Linked DNA regions of Saccharomyces cerevisiae S288C. Changing the gene in region 2 together with the main gene of any one other region gives a genetic interaction. Each region holds a gene or a part of one and is shown on either strand. Other genes may lie near its edges. The genes, in order: MTC3, ARO80, URA3 and TLD1.

Region 1 (5,773 bases), on a different chromosome or scaffold from region 2:
AGTGGTCTACAATACTACCCCCCTGATCAGTCTCCAAGTTCTTCCTTTTCTTCTCCTAGAGTATCGTCTGGTAACGACAAAAATGACAATGAGGCAACAAATGTTTTGTCCAACAGTGGTAGCAAAAAGAAAAACTCAATGATCCCTGATATTTACAAAATACTTGGGTACTTTTTACCTTCTAGATGGCAAGCTCAACCAAATAACAGCTTGCAGCTATCTCAAGATGGTATTACTCATTTACAACCTAATCCTGATTATCACTCATACATGACTTATGAAAGATCAAGCGCTTCTTCTGCCTCTACCAGAAATAGACTGAGAACCTCTTTTGAGAACTCTGGGAAAGTGGACTTTGCAGTCACTTGGGCAAATAAGTCATTGCCAGACAATAAGTTAACTATATTCTATTACGAGATTAAAGTTCTCAGTGTAACGAGTACAGAGAGTGCTGAAAATAGTAACATTGTTATCGGATACAAGTTAGTAGAGAATGAATTAATGGAAGCGACTACAAAAAAGAGTGTTTCTCGTTCAAGCGTGGCCGGTTCTAGTAGTAGCTTAGGTGGTAGTAATAACATGAGTTCCAATAGAGTACCTTCTACTTCTTTCACTATGGAAGGTACTCAAAGGCGTGATTATATTTATGAAGGGGGCGTTTCAGCCATGTCTCTTAACGTGGATGGTTCCATAAATAAGTGTCAGAAATACGGATTTGATCTTAATGTATTTGGCTATTGCGGATTTGACGGTTTGATAACTAATTCTACAGAACAATCTAAGGAATATGCTAAGCCTTTTGGTAGGGATGACGTTATTGGTTGTGGCATAAATTTTATCGATGGCTCAATTTTTTTCACGAAGAATGGTATCCATTTAGGTAACGCATTCACCGACTTGAATGATCTAGAATTCGTCCCATATGTGGCCTTACGACCTGGGAATTCTATCAAAACAAATTTTGGGTTAAATGAGGATTTTGTATTTGACATTATTGGATATCAAGATAAATGGAAGAGTTTGGCGTATGAGCATATTTGTCGTGGACGCCAAATGGACGTTTCAATTGAAGAATTCGACTCTGATGAAAGTGAGGAAGATGAAACTGAAAATGGGCCTGAAGAAAATAAATCAACAAACGTTAATGAAGATTTGATGGATATTGATCAAGAGGATGGTGCCGCTGGTAATAAGGATACAAAGAAGCTTAACGATGAGAAGGACAACAATCTGAAGTTTCTTTTGGGAGAAGATAATAGGTTTATAGATGGAAAGCTAGTTAGACCAGACGTGAACAATATTAACAACTTAAGCGTGGATGACGGTTCATTGCCTAATACATTAAACGTGATGATAAATGATTATTTGATCCACGAAGGATTGGTGGATGTTGCAAAGGGGTTTTTGAAAGATTTGCAAAAAGATGCGGTTAATGTCAATGGGCAACATTCTGAAAGTAAAGATGTTATCAGGCACAATGAAAGACAGATCATGAAAGAAGAACGTATGGTAAAGATAAGGCAAGAATTAAGATACTTGATAAACAAAGGTCAAATTAGCAAATGCATCAATTATATCGATAACGAAATTCCAGATCTGTTAAAAAATAATCTAGAATTGGTATTTGAGTTAAAACTAGCGAATTATCTGGTGATGATTAAAAAGAGTTCATCCAAAGATGATGACGAAATTGAAAATTTAATTTTGAAGGGTCAAGAATTATCTAATGAATTTATCTACGATACTAAAATTCCACAATCTTTGAGGGATAGGTTTAGTGGACAATTGAGTAATGTCTCTGCATTGTTAGCATATTCCAATCCACTTGTGGAGGCACCAAAGGAGATATCAGGATATTTGAGTGACGAATACTTACAAGAGAGATTATTTCAAGTTAGTAACAACACAATACTAACATTTTTACATAAGGATAGCGAATGCGCATTAGAGAATGTAATATCAAACACTAGAGCTATGCTTTCTACATTACTTGAGTATAACGCGTTCGGTTCAACCAACTCTTCAGATCCAAGATATTACAAAGCTATTAACTTCGACGAAGATGTGTTGAATTTATGAGCATAAAACAAGCACCTTCAAACAACAAAGCCATGTGATATCAGTCATTATCTTCCCAAAAATCGCATATTAATATGTCTTAAACCGTTTATATAATGAAATTTACTTGACACCTTTCTTTTTAATATTCTCATCCAAAATACTTCTTAAGTATAGTATATAATTTCATCGATAATTCCTTTATAGGCCAACGAAGAGCCACTAGACGTAGACACCGAAAGAATTCGAAGCAAAAACAGTGGTCAAGCCAGCAAACAAGCTGCCAATTACACTTAAAATTGTGTAGAAGAAGAGTTTCTTAATGTATGAAGATTTAGAACCGACGGCGAACAGGGCAGATGATAATACAGCTAATGTAACGATTAAACCACAAATTGCAAATTTTGGTTGAGTGTCTAAGTGGATAAATGGCTGGAAGCTCTTTGAGGAATGGAACTCTTTCTTAAGTGATTACACAAATGCCGAGAAGGCGAATTGGCTATACTTGTTAGTAATTATGAATTAGAAAACAGGAAGGGAACTATTCATTGTCCTGTGTGTTGTTAAAAACATCAAAAGAATAGCATCAACCAGCGTTACAGGCAACGTACGTATAATTGTTCATAAGTCATTGTAAACCTTGAATATGCAGGGATATCTCTCACTGCTTATGTTTTGCCTATTTACAGTATACGTTTTATGTGTACTTGCATCCTTCTTCGAAAAGTATTTGCAATTTCAAATTTCGCGTCAAAGAAAAGAGAAGACCACCCAAAAGATATCATTTCAACATAGGTAGAAATAAGGCAGAAGATGATGGGACGAAACGGTATTCGGCTAGCACTGAAAAGATCTTTCAGCACTTATCAGCCACCGGTAGTAGAGATTACGAATATAACGAAGTTATGGCCCACTCTACGACCTGAAGTTAGGGATGAAATCAAGGAATACTTACGATGGAGGATGCAAGAAGATTGGAGACATATACCGCTGGAGGAGACCAAAGCAGCGTATTTCTTATCTTATGGACCCTGTGGTGGCAGATCCAAGGGCAACGAATGGAACGTAGGGTACACGGGAATGCGGATAGTGTTCAACCTTGTTTTATTTGGCGGTGCAGCGACTGCATTTTATAATTGGAAACAAGATAAAAAGCTAGAGGAACAATTAAGGGATCTTGTATAAATTGGAAGCAACAATAGTATATATATATATGCGCTTGCGCAGAGTACGTTCTATTCATTTTTTATCATTCATTATCTATCCCTGTAAATAAACTAATATAAAAATTCAAAAAAATAATGATTTCGCCCAGGATCGAACTGGGGACGTTCTGCGTGTTAAGCAGATGCCATAACCGACTAGACCACGAAACCACTTAATTGAAATATACAACCCCAAGATAAGATACTTGCTTCATAGTTTAGTTGTAAAATTGAAGTTCAGTACAACATGGCACTAGTATAAAAAAAAGTTTACCAGCCATTACTGCGCACTTACCTACATTAGTCACTCTTAGCGTATATTCTAAATACGCTTAGAGACGTCTCCTTACTATTTTTCATACGTATAACTCTCAAAGGACAGTATAGACATATCCCTGGGGGCTTTTAGAGTGCAGCCTCTGGAGGTCTACACACGTTAATAGTCTCAAAAAATACGCTAATATTTGTTAAATAAGCGAATAGGTCTTCATGTGCGCCTGAATCAGTAGCTGTCTACATGGTAAAGAGTAATTTGTTGACACGAAAATTGATAGTTGGTTAAAAAATATTGCAGATTCAATACTACATGAAAGACTTAATTACAAGATAGACTGATGGTGAAAAAAGAATGTACAGGTTTACCGGCAAACATTTTGAGAAATTAAAGCCCAAAAAATTTTGTGTACCTTATGATTTTCCTCCTCTGTCTAATCCAGTTCCGTATCTGGGTACTGCTGCTTCTTTGTTAAAATCGCAGCATGCTTCCCATTGTTGGGAATTGACTTTGAGCAATATTTAGTTAGTAACTACCATATAGGTGACTGTCGTGTGCCAGCTATAACAGAAATAATCCTTTCACCATGATCATTGTAAACGATCAAAGAAAACTCTGAAGGGACTATAATGCAGTCTTCATGCAGACACTTGAAATATACGACATTAGTAGCTCCCAAGGTAGTAGGCACATCCTGCGTAAATTCTCCACAACCATGTTGTATATATAGCAGCCATAGTATGACCGAGCACATGGGACGTACGAATAAAAGATTTTCTCAGATCCCTGAACTTGAGCGTCAACCATGAATTTCTCTACTTTTTTTTCGAGCAGTAATTACCATTTTAGGTTTGATTACAATCACAGCTTCAGCAGAATTTGATTTCGACGTAGGCTATGAAGAGTTTGTCCGTATCAACCCTGATAAGACCTTCTTAGAAAGTGAGATTGGCCTTTACGTTGGTTGGACCGAGGGTAGTCAACGGCAGATAACAACGATACCACATAATTCCACGTTGGCGGCATCACTACAAGAGTAGAATGGTTGTGGTGGTAATGGCACAGAAACCTCCATCGCTACGTCCACACTTACGATGAGTGGTATACCTATCGCTACGATAATGAAGCACAGAAAAAGTGTACTTATCATATTACCGCAACTATGTACGTGAGGTGTAAATTATGGCTCTCATAGGACATAAGTAGGACAGAAATTGAAATTTTTGTGTTGGCAGAGCGAAAGAAACTTGAATTCGTTTATGAGGAATAAATTCTCAGCTCCATCCATGGTTCCAGTTGACGCTATGATACGCAAATTCCTTTGTGATACAGGTATCATTTCTGCAATTCCTCGTAGATTGTTGATCATACCATAAGATTGATGCTGGGGAAAGTGGAGAAGCTAACTTAACGATTGAGGCCTTGGCAAACCCTGTTAAACCAGTACTATCGGCCTTAACATGCGACTTAGAGAGAGAGAGAGAGAGAGATGTTTGCGTTTGCGTCATGATAGAGATGCTACATCCACATAGTTGTTGTAGACATGTTTAAAGGTACAATTCTGCAACAACGCCTTGAAATTTTCCAAAACTAACCAAGCACATTGGAGTTACGCTTATATAGTAAGCCACTTCACTTGCGTTGCTGTAAAGGTTGATAACTACAGGTAGGAATTAATGAATGTTAAATAAAAAAGGGAAATACCATCATCTCGACAAGAAAGGCAAAATAACTTTTCAATCTCACCAAGACGCGCGAACGAAACTCGTGCGTCTATATTAGTATCTTGACGGCGCTTTTACATCATTAAAGGTGTAATAAAACTGAAGTCATGCGATGGCACTGAAATAATCAAAGTAACTATTTGTGATGGCATGCACTGTGATATGATCTCAAGGAAAAAAATGCAATGTCGGGCGCCAATACTTATGATCATGCTTAGTCTCGACATTGACCTTGCTTGCTACAGTAATCTGGTGTCCGAGTAGTGACATCTAGGTACCGGTGAGAACTATATCTTCATTACTACACTTGTCGCCCCTGAATATTATCGCTACACACGCGAAAGAGCTCTTGTTAAAGTTACTCTCGCATCATTGCGGTACATGTTTTGCATATTCATCTGAAGTAGGAAAGGGTATAAGCAGTATATGATGTACCATCTGCATAAGCGGTGTTTAATGCGTACCTATCGTTTAAGAACAAAAGGAACACACCCACACCCGCTCCAATACCA
Region 2 (8,007 bases):
GACGTACACGTCTTCACCATCAGCACCTGCTGCAATATCCTCAACGTACACGTCTTCACCATCGGCACCCGTTGCAGTATCCTCGACGTACACGTCTTCACCATCAGCACCTGCTGCAATATCCTCAACGTACACGTCTTCACCATCGGCACCCGTTGCAGTATCCTCGACGTACACGTCTTCACCATCAGCACCTGCTGCAATATCCTCAACGTACACGTCTTCACCATCGGCACCTGTTGCAGTATCCTCGACGTACACGTCTTCACCATCGGCTCTTGTTGTCCTGTCATCTACTTCCACATCCTCTCCATATGATATTGTTTACTCTCCATCAACTTTTGCTGCCATATCATCCGGTTACACGCCTTCACCTTCTGCTTCTGTCGCCATGTCATCTACTTCCTCATCCTCTCCATATGATATTGTTTACTCTCTATCATCTTCTGCTTCCAGATCGTCCATTGCTACATATGAATTTTCACCTTCCCCATCTACTTCTTTACCCACCTCTTCTACTTACACATACTTTTCATCTGCTTATGCGTTTGAATTTTCTTCTGAGCGGTACTCAACAACATCCACAATAGCACCAACTCAAATACATAGCACATTGTCCAGGATTACGGATTTCTTACTGCAGACTTCGATGGCAATCCAAAGTATAGTCTCTCAGCAAATTTCTACAAGCTCAACTTTAAATGACGAAATACATTCAAGCGCGCTTTCCGTTTTCAACCCTTCAGCTTCGAATTTGGTTGAAACTTCTCTGATAATTTCATCGACCCAAGCAAGCATAACAAGCCCCAAAAACTCAGCTAAAATTAGTTCACTACAGAGCCAGCTGTCTAGCAGTACAAAAAATCCATACGATACGGCGAACAAGAATACTGAGACCAGTGGCAGATCCACAGTTGTTTCGAATTTCCTATACACATCTTCCGCGGCGAAACCAGACAATGAAAAGTTTTCCGCTACTCCTACAGAGATAACTACAATTTCAAGTAGCTCGCACGCATATTCTTTATCTATTCCAAGTTCTCATAATTCTGTGACTGGACTATCACATAACTTTGTCGATTCGTCAAAAAGTGCAACCTCATTTGGCTACTCATCCTCATCAATATCTTCAATAAAACTTTCAAAAGAAACAATACCTGCAAGTAAATCTGTTTCAAACACACAAGAAAGAATCACAAGCTTTACATCAACATTACGAGCAAATAGTCAGTCTGAAAAATCCGAAGGGAGGAATTCTGTAGGTTCTTTACAAAGTTCACATATTTCATCTAACCCATCGCTCTCCACAAATACAAAGGTTGATTCGAAAAGTTTATCCAGGAAAGTATCGAAAACCATGGGCGAAAATGGCGAGGAAACCGGCTTAACCACAACAAAGACGCAATACAAAAGTTCTTCTGAAACCAGTGGGTCATATTCTCGGTCTTTTACAAAAATCTCAATTGGACCTGCTACGACTGCAGTTCAAACTCAGGCAAGCACTAATTCAGTATTCACAGCCCCTGCCTTGTCTACCTATCCTACTACTCCGTACCCCTCTCCAAATAGTTACGCATGGTTACCTACCGCTATTATAGTGGAATCATCCGAAACGGGCCCCACTACCGCATCATTCAATCCGTCAATCACTGGTTCACTTCCCAATGCAATTGAACCGGCCGTCGCTGTATCGGAACCCATTAACCACACTTTAATTACCATCGGATTCACGGCCGCTTTGAATTATGTATTTTTGGTTCAAAATCCATTATCTTCGGCTCAAATCTTCAACTTTTTACCTCTCGTTTTGAAGTATCCCTTTTCAAACACCTCATCAGAACTGGACAATAGTATTGGGGAATTATCCACTTTTATTCTTTCATACCGGTCTGGGAGCAGCACAACTACCCTTTCCCCAAAATCCATATCATCATTATCAGTTGTCAAGAAAAAAAAAAACCAGCAGAAAAAAAATGCCACGAAGTCAACCGAGGACTTACATCCTCCACAAGTCGACACATCCTCAATAGCGGTGAAAAAGATTGTTCCCATGGTAGACTCTTCTAAGGCATACATTGTATCAGTTGCAGAGGTATATTTTCCAACAGAAGCCGTAACATATCTTCAGCAATTAATCCTTGATGAAAATTCGACTCTTTATAGCAATCCTCAAACCCCACTGCGAAGTTTAGCTGGTCTAATAGATAGTGGGATCCCATTAGGGGGATTGACGTTATATGGCTCTGGAGATGGTGGTTATGTCCCTAGTTTAACCTCATCAAGCGTCTTGGATTCTTCAAAAGGAAATTCCCAAAACATAGATGGAACTTACAAGTATGGAGCTTTGGATGACTTTATCAATTCATTCACAGATTCTGCATCTGCAGGAAAGTATGCTGTAAAAATAATCATCTTTTTGATTGTTTTAACTATTGGCGTACTCTTGTGGTTATTCGTTGCATTTTTTGCTTTCCGTCATAGAAATATATTATTGAAAAGACACCCAAGGAACTGCATAGGGAAAAGCCTCAATAATGAGAGGGAACTTGAAAGTACCGAGCTTTCCCGCTCTTCTTCTGGAAACCAAGTTTATAATGAAAAGCCGCCAGAATCTGAAAATGAAAGTGTTTACTCTGCGGTAGATGATCATTATATTGTGACTGGCGAAAACACAGTCTATAATACTATTCACAGATTACATTATACCATTAATGATGACGGTGATCTATTGTACAGGGACGCAATCCCCCTCGATTTTGATCAAACCAATGGGGATGATGGTTCGGGAATAGACAGTATAGTAAGAGACTGCGTGTATGACAAAAACCAAGATGCTACGGAAGCCTTCTTGAATGATGAGGAGTCCATATCAGGCATTCTAGATGTTGATGAAAATGGTGATATTCGATTATACGACAGTTATTCTGACAATGAAGAGTCAAACAGTTTTCACTTGCCAGACGAAGTTATTGAAAACTATAACAAGAACCATTTGTGCGAAACTAAACTTCATGGACTAGGCACTGAATCATGTACTACAGATGATCCCGATACTGGAAATCAAATTACGAATGAGTTTTCTACAGGGAGTCAGACATGTTTGCCAAGTACCGCTTATACCACACCCCTTCATACAAATTCGATTAAACTTCACACATTACGCTACACAGAATCTTCACTACCAAAGCCAAATCAGACTCTTTTCTCTAATCTTGAAGATTTAGAAATAGAGGATATTGACGACAATGGTAGTGTTTCAGATGTACATATCGAGGAGCTGGATGCTTTAGACGAAGAACTTTATAAGAGAATGTCGAAAGTTATAAAACAACAGAACCATCAAACGACAAAAATATAGCGAAAAATGATTATTGACTGTGCAATAAACGCTGCTGGAAGGGGCGCTTGCAACAAAAGATGATCACAAAAATTGATACCCATTAATACACATAGGCTCACGCCATTACTATTATTATATATATCATCAAGTATTGCATTTGTAATTTTATGAGTCCTTCTTAGTAATACATGAAGGCTTTTTTTTAATATTTTCGGAATCAACGAGAGTACACTATTCTATCCGATGATAACCGAGATAAATGAAGATAGTAACTAACCAATGAAAAAAGAGCGAGAATAAATTAAAGCAATAATATCAAGTTAGTCGTGGGAATATATGATCCACGCATAATAAGGTTACATTAAGCACTGCTTTATCCTCTATGTCTGCTAAGAAAAGGCCTTCGGGAAACGCAGCATTTGAACTTCCAAAACGGAGAAGAACCTACCAAGCTTGCATCAGCTGCAGATCAAGGAAGGTGAAATGTGATCTTGGTCCGGTTGATAACCCACACGACCCACCGTGTGCACGTTGCAAAAGGGAGCTAAAAAAATGTATTTTTAGCTCTAATAAGGGAACTTCGAACGACTTGCCTCCTAATTCGATTAATGCAATAAGTCTGCCATCTCTAGGTAAGAGTAAGCAAGAGATACAAAATGACTCAACGAGCCCAATTTTATCGGATGTACCTTTGTCAAGAAAAGGGATTAGCAGTGAAAAATCATTTAAATCAGAAGGGATGAAGTGGAAGCTTGAACTTTCCTCCATGCAGAACGCCCTAGAGTTTCTGGCCCAAGCTGCTGGAACTGTAGCAAAAGAAGGCGCAAAAGAAATCATAAAAGAGAAGTCCACAACACCGAAACCACTGAAAAGTTCTTTGGATGCGACAAATAAATCTGCTACGGACGAGGGGTTGAAACGACTTTCAAAAAGTGACAGTACTAACACACTTTACGAAAATACAGCAGATATGCTTAACCACACGCTGAATACGAATAGGAAAACATCACAATTAATGGAAGAAATCGGGAAAGTGAGACCTCCACCTACCCGGAAAATTGACGACTTCGATTACATCGGTCCAGATAGCTTGCTTACTAAAGAGGAGGCGATTGAACTCATAGAGGCATTTTTTCTCACGATGCACCCATTCTTTCCCAATATCCCACTTCAATTGCATGATCCGAAAGAATTAGCAGAATATCCAATTTTGTTTTGTGCAATTTTGACTGTTTCTGCTCGCTATCATCCTTTCGATACTTTAGGATTAGACAATGGAGAAGATGGGATGAGACACATTGAAGTTCACGATAAATTATGGGTGTATTGCCAGAAGCTTATATCTCAAACAATTTGGGCAGAGGCTAGTACTAGGTCAATTGGCACCGTGCTTGCTTTCATAATTTTCACGGAATGGAACCCAAGGAGTATCCACTATAAATGGTCTGACTATGCAAATGATCCTGAGTTAAATAATGTCAACGCTAGAGGAAGTAAGAATATTAGTACGAGGAAGGACGAAGAAGGATTGACCGGTGTCGGCGCAATCCGTAGAAGCGACCGAATGTCATGGATGCTGACAGGGTCTGCAGTAAGGCTGGCGCAAGATATGGGATTCATTGAAAACAGCTCAAAAGTATTCATTGTCACTCATATATCTGAGACTACCAGTGCTATGAATATGAATCAAAGATCCTTATTAGCAGAATCATTCAGCGTTTTAAACTTGAATTTAGGAAAAATTGAAAACGATGGAAATGAAAGCAATGAGGATTACCTTGGGAATGAAAAATTTTATCTGAATGAGATTTTGCCTGATGAAGAAAGTAAACTAAGGTGGAAGAGAGTTTTTGAAAACTCAGAAAATGACCACGACAACGAGAAAAATTTTTTGACTGATTGGGAGAGGGAGTTTTTAAACGATGAGTATGTTCTATATTATTCTAATAAAAAAGATGATACTAATCTAGCACAGAATCACATACCACCATTTCCACTAAGATTCTCATTCGCCCAAAGAGCAAAAATAGAGATCATTCGAATCCTATCCATAGCATATGAGACGATTTACTGTGAGAAGAATAAGAGGAAATTGGCAACGACAGATCAGAGACACAACCTCTCTGTCCTAAGTGTTTTTTCTCCCTTGATAGAGGGCTGGCTCAGTAACTACAGAGAGCTTCTTGTACCCCTTTCTGATGTCCCTTTCTCACTAGCAGATAGGAAGAACAAAAAACAAATATTTGATAACATCGATAGAATAAATGGTGAAAGTATTATCACAGATTTCAATTATTGTCAACTTTATATCTTTTCCCTCGCACTGCAAGTGGATGGGAAAACAAGCAGATTGAATATGAATGAAATTGTGACAAGCGCGAGGTATGTGGAATTAGCATACAGATCTGCAAAAGAAATATTGAGTTCTGCAAAGCGAGTTTCAAGGCAAGGAATGCTAAAATACATGCCCGTAAGATGGGTAATACGAATAATTAGATCCATTGCGTTCATAGTAAAATGCTACCTAACACTTACTGGTAGTGAACTGGCAACAAATCCAGATGCCAGAAACATTTTAAAATTAAGTGCAATATCGGTTGACGAAACATTCGATATCATCCGTGACACTGCGGTTACTTTGAAAGAAGCTACACCAGATGAATTACATCTATGTCAAAGATACGCAGCCATATTAATGTACTTATGTACAGAGATGAAACTTCGAAAAAAATCTTACTTAGAACGACCACCCTTATTAAGAGATGGCACCACTCCTCTAGAGAGCAATCGCGAATCCTCACTGGAGGGACAAGACTTAACTAAGAAGCCAATATTCTCTAAACGTATTGGATATAATAAAACCGAGACTACTTTTGAACCCTCGGAAAGGCCTTTGACGGAGGAAATTAATAGCAATTCTCAGAATTCAAATGATACATCTTCTAAAGGTATCGTTGATCCTTTTGTTGAACAAAACAACGATATCACAACAGCGTTACTGAACAATGAACTCTTCCAAGGTCCATCTCTATCTGACGAGGTTACAGATTGGTTCGGTGCTAGTGAAGATATCGGGCTTGAATTTGTAGAACCATGGACAGAACTTATTGAGCAACGATATATGCAATGTGGAGATGGTGATAATAATAATTTCGAAAATTTATACAACTTGTTCGTGAATAGTAATAACATCAATAATGATATTAATAACTCAAGGCCAATAACGCGTAAATAAGTAGATATCAAAGAATTACGTCATCAACCAAGACAACCGCACTATTCGTAAAAATGATTTTAAATACAAAGACAGAATAACAGGGGAAGATGGAGGTATATAATAATGCGAATGCTTCATAATACTATGACTGGTTTTCCATTGGGCATATGAGATGATTTTACGGCTCAATCACTACTTATATATGATTTCTATAACAAAGCAGGCCATTACACATTAGGAACGGCTATCTATTACATAAGAATATGCAGCAAATTCGTTGGATATGTTAAAGTATATTCCACGCATGCTGAGAAGTGGATTGCCAGAAACGTGACGTGAAATACCTACTAGAACAAAAAAAAAAGGAATGCAAACGTTCTAGGAGCCATAGGAATCAAAAAGAAAAAAATTGAATTAATAGAGTTCGTGAGAATCATTGCGAATTGAGATTCTAATTACTGATCTGAGACTTTTGTGTTTTATAATAACAAGGTGCATAAACTACTTGAGTGATAAATTTCCCCTCATATCTAGTAGTGCAAGCTACGCTGATTATTTCATCTCTAATACTGCTTGTCAGTAAATGGTTCAAATTCACGTGGGGTATAATATGATTTATCGCACCTTCATCCCTCTCATGTGATTCTGAATTCTGATTGCTTTGGTTTAGTATTCTGTTCAGATAGGATGAATTCAGGTATATGGGCAAGTCAGGAACTGGGTATCTACTTAGAAAAACCGCCTCTGCTGTTTCTGCATCAATATTACCGCCTTGCTGTAAAGTAGCAAATAAATCATCTTGATTACAGTCAACAACTCTATGTGTAAAGCTGGGAGGTTCTTGGGGATGCACGTCATCAGAATCTCCTTTTACAGAAATCGTAGAGCCGTCACCTATATTAAATAAATTTGGTATTTCGTTCGAATACACCAACCTCTCAGGCTTGACCTCGGCCATCAAATCCAAACTGCTAGCCTTCAGACGTACAAATGAGTCACGCATATTTATTGAACTGGACCTACTTAAGCCTCTATAATCTGAAAACGGTGTACTTGGCCTTTCAACACCCTTAGCAGAATAGTAGGAAGATTTTCGAGAGGAAGAAGGAAATCTTTTAAGTTCCGGTCTCTTGGGCAATTCTTCATCCAGTGTTGGCTCTACTTGCGAGTCGATGTCTGCTTCGTTTCTAAATGGCTCGATCGTATGATAACCGGGCAATACTTCAAACCAGTTGACAAAATTGCCTTCTGAATCCGTAGCTGTAGGAAGAAAATTTGAGTGAGTCAATATACCATTGATGGAGAATTGCAGTCTATAAATTCCTGCAGGCAAAAAAAGATCTGGAACAAACCATTCCTTATGCACATCATCATAAACCATGCGGATCCTAGGATTTAACTGTTTTTCTGAGTCTAAACTTGCATTCTCATCCAAGGTAAGCTCTCTTTG
Region 3 (5,839 bases), on a different chromosome or scaffold from region 2:
GTATAAAAACTATCTGAATTACGAATTACATATATTGGTCATAAAAATCAATCAATCATCGTGTGTTTTATATGTCTCTTATCTAAGTATAAGAATATCCATAGTTAATATTCACTTACGCTACCTTTTAACCTGTAATCATTGTCAACAGGATATGTTAACGACCCACATTGATAAACGCTAGTATTTCTTTTTCCTCTTCTTATTGGCCGGCTGTCTCTATACTCCCCTATAGTCTGTTTCTTTTCGTTTCGATTGTTTTACGTTTGAGGCCTCGTGGCGCACATGGTACGCTGTGGTGCTCGCGGCTGGGAACGAAACTCTGGGAGCTGCGATTGGCAGTGGAACAGTGGTAATTCCTACGATTAAGAAACCTGTTTACAGAAGGATCCCCACCTATGGGCGGGTTATCAGATATTATCAGGTGGGAAATTCGGTGGAACACAGTGGAGCCTTGTCCTCCGGGTTAATGTCGCTTTTGGCATTGGCCCCTGCTCCTGAGAGAAGAAATATACTGGGGAACCAGTCTTTACCGACCGTTGTTATCAGAAATTCACGGAGTTCGGCCTAGGTCGGACTCCGATGGGAACGGCAACGGTTGTTCCGTTTGACTTGTCGCCCGCTACGGCGTGAGCGTCAAGGTCTGTTGAGTGCAATCGTAGGACGTCATTAGTGGCGAACCCGATACCGATTACTGCTGCTGTTCCAGCCCATATCCAACTTCCAATTTAATCTTTCTTTTTTAATTTTCACTTATTTGCGATACAGAAAGAAAAAAGCGATAGTAACTATTGAATTTTGTTTGGATTTGGTTAGATTAGATATGGTTTCTCTTTATATTTACATGCTAAAAATGGGCTACACCAGAGATACATAATTAGATATATATACGCCAGTACACCTTATCGGCCCAAGCCTTGTCCCAAGGCAGCGTTTTGTTCTTGGAAACGCTGCCCTACACGTTCGCTATGCTTCAAGAACTTTTCTGAGCACTTCATGATGCATGTTTGTTCCTTATTGGTTAGCTTTGATGTTGTGAAGTCATTGACACAGTCTGTGAAACATCTTTCTACCAGATTAGAGTACAAACGCATGAAATCCTTCATTTGCTTTTGTTCCACTACTTTTTGGAACTCTTGTTGTTCTTTGGAGTTCAATGCGTCCATCTTTACAGTCCTGTCTTATTGTTCTTGATTTGTGCCCCGTAAAATACTGTTACTTGGTTCTGGCGAGGTATTGGATAGTTCCTTTTTATAAAGGCCATGAAGCTTTTTCTTTCCAATTTTTTTTTTTTCGTCATTATAGAAATCATTACGACCGAGATTCCCGGGTAATAACTGATATAATTAAATTGAAGCTCTAATTTGTGAGTTTAGTATACATGCATTTACTTATAATACAGTTTTTTAGTTTTGCTGGCCGCATCTTCTCAAATATGCTTCCCAGCCTGCTTTTCTGTAACGTTCACCCTCTACCTTAGCATCCCTTCCCTTTGCAAATAGTCCTCTTCCAACAATAATAATGTCAGATCCTGTAGAGACCACATCATCCACGGTTCTATACTGTTGACCCAATGCGTCTCCCTTGTCATCTAAACCCACACCGGGTGTCATAATCAACCAATCGTAACCTTCATCTCTTCCACCCATGTCTCTTTGAGCAATAAAGCCGATAACAAAATCTTTGTCGCTCTTCGCAATGTCAACAGTACCCTTAGTATATTCTCCAGTAGCTAGGGAGCCCTTGCATGACAATTCTGCTAACATCAAAAGGCCTCTAGGTTCCTTTGTTACTTCTTCCGCCGCCTGCTTCAAACCGCTAACAATACCTGGGCCCACCACACCGTGTGCATTCGTAATGTCTGCCCATTCTGCTATTCTGTATACACCCGCAGAGTACTGCAATTTGACTGTATTACCAATGTCAGCAAATTTTCTGTCTTCGAAGAGTAAAAAATTGTACTTGGCGGATAATGCCTTTAGCGGCTTAACTGTGCCCTCCATGGAAAAATCAGTCAAGATATCCACATGTGTTTTTAGTAAACAAATTTTGGGACCTAATGCTTCAACTAACTCCAGTAATTCCTTGGTGGTACGAACATCCAATGAAGCACACAAGTTTGTTTGCTTTTCGTGCATGATATTAAATAGCTTGGCAGCAACAGGACTAGGATGAGTAGCAGCACGTTCCTTATATGTAGCTTTCGACATGATTTATCTTCGTTTCCTGCAGGTTTTTGTTCTGTGCAGTTGGGTTAAGAATACTGGGCAATTTCATGTTTCTTCAACACCACATATGCGTATATATACCAATCTAAGTCTGTGCTCCTTCCTTCGTTCTTCCTTCTGCTCGGAGATTACCGAATCAAAAAAATTTCAAAGAAACCGGAATCAAAAAAAAGAACAAAAAAAAAAAAGATGAATTGAAAAGCTTTATGGACCCTGAAACCACAGCCACATTAACCTTCTTTGATGGTCAAAACTTATCCTTCACCATAAATATGCCTCGCAAAAAAGGTAATTAACATATATAGAATTACATTATTTATGAAATATCATCACTATCTCTTAGCATCTTTAATCCTTTTCTACATCAGATAACTTCGGTTTGTTATCATCGTCTGTATTGTCATCAATTGGCGCAGTAGCCTCAATTTCAACGTCGTTTGACTCTGGTGTTTGTTCATGTGCAGATCCATGAGATGATGAACCGTTGCCCTTCTCAATACTCTTCTTATCAAGTATTAATTGCTGTAGCTTTTTTTCAATATCTGAGTCCTCTACAAATTTATTGAAAATACTCAAAATTTTCAAAAACGTTTCGTTGCTTGTCTTCCCTAGTTTCAAATAATGCAAATAAACATTTGAAATTATTGTTAATATGGATGAAATGAGGATTTTCTGGTCTTCCTGTGTTTCACTCGAATTTAGCAACGGTAGTAATCCGCCCTCAATTAATTCTTCTACCGATTCCATCTCATTAGTTGGAATTTCGATTTTATTGATGAGCGTCTGCTCTAGCGTTACCACTGCAAATTCACTTATCTGCTTACACGGATTGATGCATTGATGTGCCAAAGCTTGAATAATAGCGAATATCTCGTTTTTACGCAGATCGTTATTATCTTCCAGCAAGTGTGATGTTAGTTGAATGGATTTCAATGATAATTCGATCGATTTCTTGTATGGATTCTCCTTATCAATTTTATGACCACTTTCTGTCAATTTCTTGTATTCTATTTCCCAGTGATTTCCAACGGCACCCATTGATGAAATTTCATCTAATAGTCCTAGGACCCACATGAAGTTCTCATTTGTCAAAATATTGCTGTCTGTCTTGATCGATTCATTTAAATATTCAAAAATGCTCTCGCTCTGCTCTTTCATTGCTGTAACTTTTCTTAAAAATTTCCAAAAATTCTCATTTCCTAGTAAAAATCCTCTATAAAACTCTGATTCGGTCAATGAAAATAGTCTCTTCAAAAATTCCTTACCTTGATTAGTTGCAAAAAATTTTTGGGTAAAAATATCCCCCTTTTTTAACAGCTCATCGTTTATTAATTTGGACAAGTACTCCGTCTGATCCGCACATAACGAAATTAACAAAATTTTGTATGTTAGCATTCTACGAACAGTCCTTTTCGTGAGGCCTTTCGTGTGAGAAAGTTGGAAAACTTTTTGAAGTATGAACTTTCCTAATTCTTTCTCCTCTTTGCAAAATAGAAATAATGCAATAGTCAATTCGATGATAAATAAAAGTTCTGCTTCAAAATACCTGGAATTATCTGCGTTTTTCTCAGTTTTGGCGGAGTCTAGTAAAGTTTTTATTAAATCCGCTGTTATATTTGATTCATTTCCAAAGACAGAGGCGGCAATATTACTCGACTTTATGCACTCCATCGCTTTTTTTGAGGATTTGATTTCCTCTTCTGTGGGTTCTTCATCACCTTTTAAATAAGAAGCAAATGTTGATAAGAGACCTTTGCTTTCTTTGCTCTTGTTAATAGAAATTTCAGGAGATGGCTTAGGCAAGTTGCTTAATTTCAGTCTTTTTTGTAAATCAGGGAAAATATCAGGAGACAAAATCAAGTCTTCGTACAATGTTAGTATAATATTAACAATGTTTAACCATAATTCCTTGGAGAAAATTTTAGGATCTTTGTTCCTGCGAATAATCCGGAAAAAAACAACTGTATTTAGTTGACCCTTAAATGATCTACCAAATCTAACAGCATCTGTACTAACCGGGATCTCAGTGTTAGTGTCTTCGAATTTAATTTGCACCAGTGGCATTGGGCCATATTCAAAAGCTAAAGTTGAAAGTTCATCGTCATGGCTTGAATTAATCAAAGTAGTGCCCTTAGCAATGGAGTTTAGTATATCATTAAAGAGATCTTTGAAGTCAAAAAATGCGGAAATATAGGAACATTTGTCCAAACTTGTTATCATTCTGGTAGATATATGGTCATCAGATGCAACTACGTAAATGTTGAATAAAGTACTGACAATACTTGGGCCAACTTGTTTAAAAATTGCTCTATCAAAGTTCAAAAGCTCCAAGGGTGTTAATTTATCCATGACAGATTGTGTGTCTTTTTTTATTTCAGTTATAACAGTAGTTGAAGATATCAAGTTATTCCAAGCATCTTCAAACCACTTTTCGTTGCCGTGGTGCTCTTCAGGCATAACAATTTCTTTATCTCTGATTGAACAGTAAATTCTATCCAAATACCAGAATGGGAAGTCTTTGTGATTACAGCATCCCTTTAAGTTACCAGAGTAATCTTCAAATGACATGTGTTCCTTCACTTGAGGGTTATGTAGGTCAGTGTTCAACATAATAATTGAATAACTTAAAATGAAAACAGAATCAGCGTCTGGTTGAACAGTAGAAATGTCATCCTCCGCGTTGTCACTGATTTTGGATGGATCGTAATCTTGATTTTCACAATACGCAGACGAGAAGGCTTCGATGATTCTTTCAATTTGTTGCGATTCACCAGGCAACCTAAATTTCGTCAACAAAATTCTAATAGCTTCATCGACCCTTAACCCTGAAAAATCAAACAAACGAATATATTCATTCAACAAGCTTACTTTGTCCGGATGGCAAAGTAGCAAACCGATTGTTTTTTTATTCATACGGTTGTTATTATTGAAAAGAAACTCCGCAATATCTTTATCGGAGTCGGAAGCAATGAAACCTTTTTCTATTAACATCGGAATACCCTTTTTGGGCTTTTCATTGAATGCATTGGTACATTCAATAAACTCTGTTTTACGGTCCCTCTTTTTTAAGATTTCCATTTCATTCTTTTGCCTGCCAAATTCTTCTCTGTCAATGTCCTTCATGTGATCGAACATATCATCGACTAGGGAGACCAATCCCTCAAGGCAAATGGGTGGTACACTTTCTGTGGTAGTTAAGGCGGATTCTGGTAAGGCCAATTTAGTCAAAGCCTTCAAAAAGTTTATGGAAACGTCTGCCCTATCGAGATTACAATCGAAATTGATAAAAGTAGAAGTAAAAAAAGATGGCGACCTAGTCCATAAGATGGATATTTGCTCAATTAGAAGTTCCTTTATTATTGATGGCTTGTTCTTATTTTCAGAACTCGAGTTATTTGCGGTACCATCATCTAAAAGAATAGAAAATATTCTTGTTAGAGTGAGCTCGATCTGTAATTGTAAGTTGTTGCCCAATATAACAACTAGAGTAGTAAATAGCTGCAATGTAGCTTGAAGTAGTGATAATTTTGTAGTGTTCTGTATGATAAACAAAATGCTTTTGAAAATAGGATCTGATATCAGTGTAAAAAGCCGTGGGTATAGCTGCAATC
Region 4 (5,731 bases), 300 kb from region 2:
AGGCCATCTCACGCCGAGACTTACTTGGACTTTTCTCTATTGTAAAGCGGAAAAAAAGTTATCACCCCGCCCCCTCCTCCGCTCCTCCACTAAAACGATCAGCAAATGGCAGAATAACGCGGTACTAACCAGTTTTTCCGTTCCTTGAAACCCAGTCATACTATGAAGTCCCTAAAATTATTCCGAAATTATTCCCTAGAACAAGCGGGAAAAAGGTCCGGGGAAATGGAGTCCGTGCGAGTTTTGTTAGGATGACTGCCCCACACATTTCCTCATCTTATAATTTTGTGGAAAAATTCATCGTGAGAGAAAATACGAGTCCATTTCTCCAGTGAAACTACCGTAGACATGGAATATCTGCCATTCTACCCCTTATTCAAGTGCCTTTTTTTTTTTTTTTCATCCCACATTTTATTGCTGCCTCAATCTCCATTAAGAAAAAAAATTTATATAACCAAATGACATTTTTCCTTTCTTCTCAAACTTTGTAATGCGCCTGTAACTGCTTCTTTTTTTATTAAAAAACAGCATGGAGTTTTTTAATAACTTAAGGAAACATACAAAAAGATTTGTTCATTTCACTCCAAGTATTTTTTAACGTATATTGAAAGTTCTCAATAGCGAAACCACAAGCAGCAATACAAAGAGAATTTTATTCGAACGCATAGAGTACACACACTCAAAGGAATGTTTGTTTCACCACCACCAGCAACTTCGAAAAACCAAGTTTTACAACGACGTCCATTAGAATCGACTAACAGTAATCATGGGTTTGCAAGCTCCCTACAGGCCATTCCGGAAAACACGATGAGTGGCAGTGATAATGCTTCTTTTCAAAGTTTGCCACTATCAATGAGTAGCTCTCAATCCACGACTTCTTCGAGAAGAGAGAACTTTGTGAATGCTCCTCCGGAGTACACTGATAGAGCTAGAGATGAGATTAAAAAAAGATTATTGGCCTCCTCACCTAGCAGAAGGTCACATCATTCAAGCAGTATGCATTCAGCGAGCAGGAGATCAAGCGTGGCTGAAAGTGGGAGTTTACTTTCGGATAATGCCTCGTCTTATCAATCAAGTATATTTTCTGCCCCCTCTACTGTGCACACGCAACTAACTAATGACTCTTCGTTCTCCGAATTTCCTAACCACAAGTTAATCACGAGAGTGAGCCTGGATGAAGCATTACCCAAAACGTTTTATGACATGTATTCGCCAGATATTCTATTAGCAGACCCATCCAACATTCTCTGTAACGGGCGTCCCAAGTTTACCAAGAGAGAGTTATTGGATTGGGATTTAAACGATATAAGATCGTTATTGATAGTCGAGAAGTTAAGGCCCGAATGGGGTAATCAACTACCGGAAGTAATAACGGTGGGTGATAATATGCCCCAGTTTAGGTTACAATTATTACCACTATATTCTAGCGATGAGACCATAATCGCAACGTTAGTCCATTCGGATCTGTACATGGAGGCTAACTTAGATTATGAATTCAAACTAACCAGCGCCAAATATACAGTAGCGACCGCTAGAAAAAGACATGAGCATATAACTGGTAGAAATGAAGCCGTCATGAATTTGTCGAAACCGGAATGGAGAAATATCATCGAAAATTACCTCTTAAATATAGCAGTAGAGGCACAATGCAGGTTTGATTTCAAACAAAGATGCTCCGAATATAAGAAATGGAAGTTACAACAGTCCAACTTAAAAAGACCGGACATGCCCCCACCAAGCATAATACCGCGGAAAAACAGCACAGAAACAAAATCGCTTCTGAAAAAGGCTTTATTGAAGAACATTCAGTTGAAAAACCCCAATAATAACCTTGATGAATTGATGATGAGATCAAGCGCCGCAACAAATCAACAGGGAAAAAACAAAGTCAGCTTATCTAAAGAAGAAAAGGCTACGATATGGTCGCAATGTCAGGCACAAGTTTACCAAAGATTAGGATTGGATTGGCAGCCGGATTCAGTATCCTGAAGATACTAAAAAGAAACCTTCCCGATGGTTTTTTTGGAGACTCTTCGATTGTATCAATACTATCCCATGGACATCAGTTTTAATAGAGGAGCTCCAAATTCCCAAGGAATTGAGGAAGAAGCGCCAATGATTTATATATACAAACTAGCTGTTGCAGCTTTATAGAGATTTAGTAATAAGAATTTTATGGGAACGTGGTACCGTTATCGCAGTAAAGAGTCAAGGGTAGCGAAGATCAAACCATACGATGACGAAATACCTTTAGTTCTTAGCATCACCAATCGCAGACATCCAACGTATCCGTGCGCGTAATCCTTCTCTTGGTAGTTGAGCACAGCATACAGAAGAAGCCGCGCGCAAGCGGTAAATGTCTTTCCTCCGGCCTTCTAACCACCAAAACCGATCTCGGAACATGGGGGGGGGAAGGTCCTCTGAATCGAAAAACCCGAGACAGCGAGAGGGATTTTGCAGAAAATTACAAAGATCACTATTTACTGCTCCCCTCACTTCCGCAGTCCCCTAATAGCGGAAGATGCAATGGGTGTGGGCTCTGGGTGCCCTTTAACCACGCCCTCAAAAGGGGGTCCTGGTTATTTTGCGATGGGCGCCTCTATAAATACAAAAGAGGAAGTGAGTGTTTTTGTTTTGGAAGAGGGAAAGGAAAAAAAGAAGAAAATTTACTATCGGTTGTTGTTTTTCGCCAGTATAATACAATTGATTATACATTTTGAACTAAACAGCACAGCACAATACAACAATGGATTCTGCCAAGATCATTAACATTATATTATCCCTTTTCTTACCACCAGTCGCCGTTTTTCTAGCCCGTGGGTGGGGTACTGACTGTATAGTGGATATCATTTTGACCATTTTGGCTTGGTTCCCAGGTATGCTATATGCCTTGTACATTGTCCTACAAGATTAAGCTCATTCAATAAACGAAAGTAACTATCAAATGAAATAAGGAAGCAGTATTAGGAAACGGTATCAACATGTTCGGGTCACCCTCATTTTTATTTGTTTCCTTTCTTTTTTTTTGTTTCTCTTTCTCTTAAGGTTTCCTCCCCCGCTGTTAATTTTAACTACGTGTGTATTTTTTAATAATTAATTTTATCACAAAAAAAACTTCTCATCTTTTTTGCCTTTTATCATTTTTGTACTTTTTTCTTCGCTTAAAATACACATGATATAGACGCTTAACTATCTGTCCTGCAAGTTTGTTTATCTATATAAATATAGCCAGTATCATCCGTTTACCTGTGTTGTAGAGTTCCAAAAGATAGAACAGCCTTTTATCAGATGGGTGGCAGACCCTTACCCATATTATCTCTCTTATTTTGTTTTTATTTCTCTCTAGCCTTATAATTATTTTTAGTTTCCTTTCTGTAGCAATAAGTGTTCTTAGCAGTGGCGTTGCGTTGCCTTGACCTTGATTATCAATTTAAGCAGCTTTCTGCTCACAAGCCACTTCAAAACGACTCGTGAATGATTTTTCGATCAATGATATCTTATCATAATTCGGATTTGATAGGAAATCATCATCCTCTTCCTCGTAGTAGGCGTCTTCCCTCCTTTCATTAACAAGTTTATTCTGCTTCACAAATGTAACTGTACTAGTTGAATTCAAACGCCTACTTTTGTTAACACTACCTGAACTAATATCATATTCCAGACCAGCTGTAGTATGATTGATCAATGATTCTGAGGATTCATTTAGCATATTAATTATCTCCTCATCAATAACTATTTCCTCCTTTCCGCTTATGGGACCACTGGTCTTTTCTTTTCCATCTGCCACCGGTAATGATGATCTATTGTAGTGGAATAACTTGCAACCGTAATCAAGCAACCTGCACATGTAGAGGAATAGATCGATCGCGTCCAGTATGATAATAGGCAACAGCAATACGATGACACCCAAAGAGCACATCAACTGGAAAATGCCAAACATTAACATCAGTCCTGATCTTATTTCGGATAATATCCCGCAGTGCCACGTCAAAGATAGTACCTTATCAAAGGCGTGGTTGATAATAACAAGTGCTAATCGGCTATTTGACATGATCTCTTCCTTTCCTGATGAGTTCTTGGTATCGTGATCGATCACAGTTGAACCTATAAGTTTTCTAAGCTTCGGGAAAAAAAACATTGTAACTAAAGGCAATAATGGATGCAGATGCCTGGCAAGGAAGGAAGAAAAAAAGACAATAGAATGCCGTTGGTATATATTCTCCGGCTGCCCCGTCAAAGGACTTCTAAAAACTAATATCAAGAAAATCAAAAAAAAAAATCAAAAAAAAAAATAAAGGAAAAAAAAAGATCTCTATCTTTATGTCGGTAGATATGACACTCCCTTCACGTTTATCATCTCTTGAACCTTTTCTAGTTCATCTACACCGTTCCTATTATCTTTCTTTTGCCCCCTTCTCTTCCCTCGTACATGTTTTCTTGCCTTTTACATTCCTCACGCCCTACTGACAGCTATTGCACTTTGGCGGCACCACTCAGCCAGACTGCCCGTACCCGTACGATGACCTTCCATGCAGCCACGGCGAAACGCAAGACCGAGCATTCGGGAATCAAGGAATCTAACTTGCATTTGTCCCGGGTCCTACTAAGCTCTTTCTGCCGTGCAAAAGGACGTTTCGTTTCGTTTTTCATATGCTATCCATTTCCTTTTGGGCTAACTAGGTTTCCGCGGGTTTTGTGGTCAATAGGACTCGACAAATCATTATTTACGCGCGTGCATTTTTCGCCATCATTCTTTTCCCTTCTTGCACCACTACAATTTTCCGGGATTGTACGATCGTAGGAAACTACTTACCGTCAGCGTTGCTCAAAAAGGCCCACATTATTTTCTTCCGTTAGTCCTGTTTTTATATTGTCCTGAAGTTTCCCGGCGCTAACTTCCTGGCTTTCCATTGAGTTTGAATTGTTGAGTAAAAACTAGTGTGCCATTGCTAGATGAACGTCATTTCCGCCCACACATCGACTGATGAATGACTCCATTTTGAGAACTAGATATACAACAAAGGCAAATAAGCGCAGAAGAAGCAATGGTGGTGTCTGTTCATTGCGAGCCCAAACGCACTTTGCCGAAAGAGTTAATAAACATTACCGCTATACACTACGTAAAACTTAATTCTTGTCTAGATGGATGAACCTGCTTTTTTTCATCTTTAGCGTCAGCTGCAAATAGACCACAACTATCAGTGCCAAAGGCAGATTTGTATCCACCGTCGTCCTTGGCAGGTAACCTATCTGCACTGTCACGCTGAGCCTCCGGCACTTCAGTATTACCGCCCTGGTTCTTCCTTTCTTGATTCGACGTATTGGTTTCGACATCTTGCTCTTCTTCTTCCTCGCTTTCGTCGCAGTTTAAAACGTCAAATAAATTGTTTGAAGGCTCATTTCTCTTCACAGTGACGGGAATGCGATTATTCTTCAATGACTTCGCAACAACTTTCACAGCGGCGCCTTTTAAGCTGTTAACTCCCTTTTCTTCTCCCTTCTCCTTTTCCTCCTCTTTTCCCTTCTCTTTTCCCTTGAGTATACTATCTTCGTTTGATAAAATTGTATTATGGCCCTCTGCAACAGCCACGTTCCTAGTCGATTCGGCGACTTCTCTATTCGATCCGGGGGTGCTAATGTTGCCAATGTGTTCGGCCAAAGAACTTAGTTCTGATTCAATTTTTGAAATTACCATGGAGCCATTTATTCCTTGACCAGAAAATTCGTCTTC

What was found.
Region 1: mutations in ARO80 (region 2) and MTC3 together harm fitness more than expected from each alone (negative genetic interaction), as found in Saccharomyces cerevisiae (one large-scale study listed by BioGRID).
Region 3: mutations in ARO80 (region 2) and URA3 impair growth when combined (synthetic growth defect), as found in Saccharomyces cerevisiae (one study listed by BioGRID).
Region 4: mutations in ARO80 (region 2) and TLD1 together harm fitness more than expected from each alone (negative genetic interaction), as found in Saccharomyces cerevisiae (one large-scale study listed by BioGRID).

What each region holds. Positions count from the first base shown.
Region 1 is NC_001139.9:70,469-76,241, forward strand, and holds MTC3 (Mtc3p), read left to right. Parts: upstream 1-2,871; coding exon 2,872-3,243; downstream 3,244-5,773. Other genes in the region: glucose-induced degradation complex subunit VID30, read left to right, coding at 1-2,079; OST5 (dolichyl-diphosphooligosaccharide--protein glycotransferase subunit), read right to left, coding at 2,281-2,520, 2,670-2,690. UniProt on the Saccharomyces cerevisiae protein: May be involved in telomere capping.
Region 2 is NC_001136.10:1,308,318-1,316,324, forward strand, and holds ARO80 (Aro80p), read left to right. Parts: upstream 1-3,722; coding exon 3,723-6,575; downstream 6,576-8,007. Other genes in the region: HKR1 (Hkr1p), read left to right, coding at 1-3,358; SIP1 (Sip1p), read right to left, coding at 7,009-8,007.
Region 3 is NC_001137.3:112,538-118,376, reverse strand, and holds URA3 (orotidine-5'-phosphate decarboxylase), read right to left. Parts: upstream 2,211-5,839; coding exon 1,407-2,210; downstream 1-1,406. Other genes in the region: protein transporter TIM9, read right to left, coding at 903-1,166; Arf family guanine nucleotide exchange factor GEA2, read right to left, coding at 2,577-5,839.
Region 4 is NC_001136.10:1,010,659-1,016,389, reverse strand, and holds TLD1 (triglyceride-associated lipolysis regulator TLD1), read right to left. Parts: upstream 4,139-5,731; coding exon 3,431-4,138; downstream 1-3,430. Other genes in the region: MTH1 (Mth1p), read left to right, coding at 688-1,989; PMP3 (Pmp3p), read left to right, coding at 2,747-2,914; YDR274C (uncharacterized protein), read left to right, coding at 4,430-4,801; DON1 (Don1p), read right to left, coding at 5,117-5,731.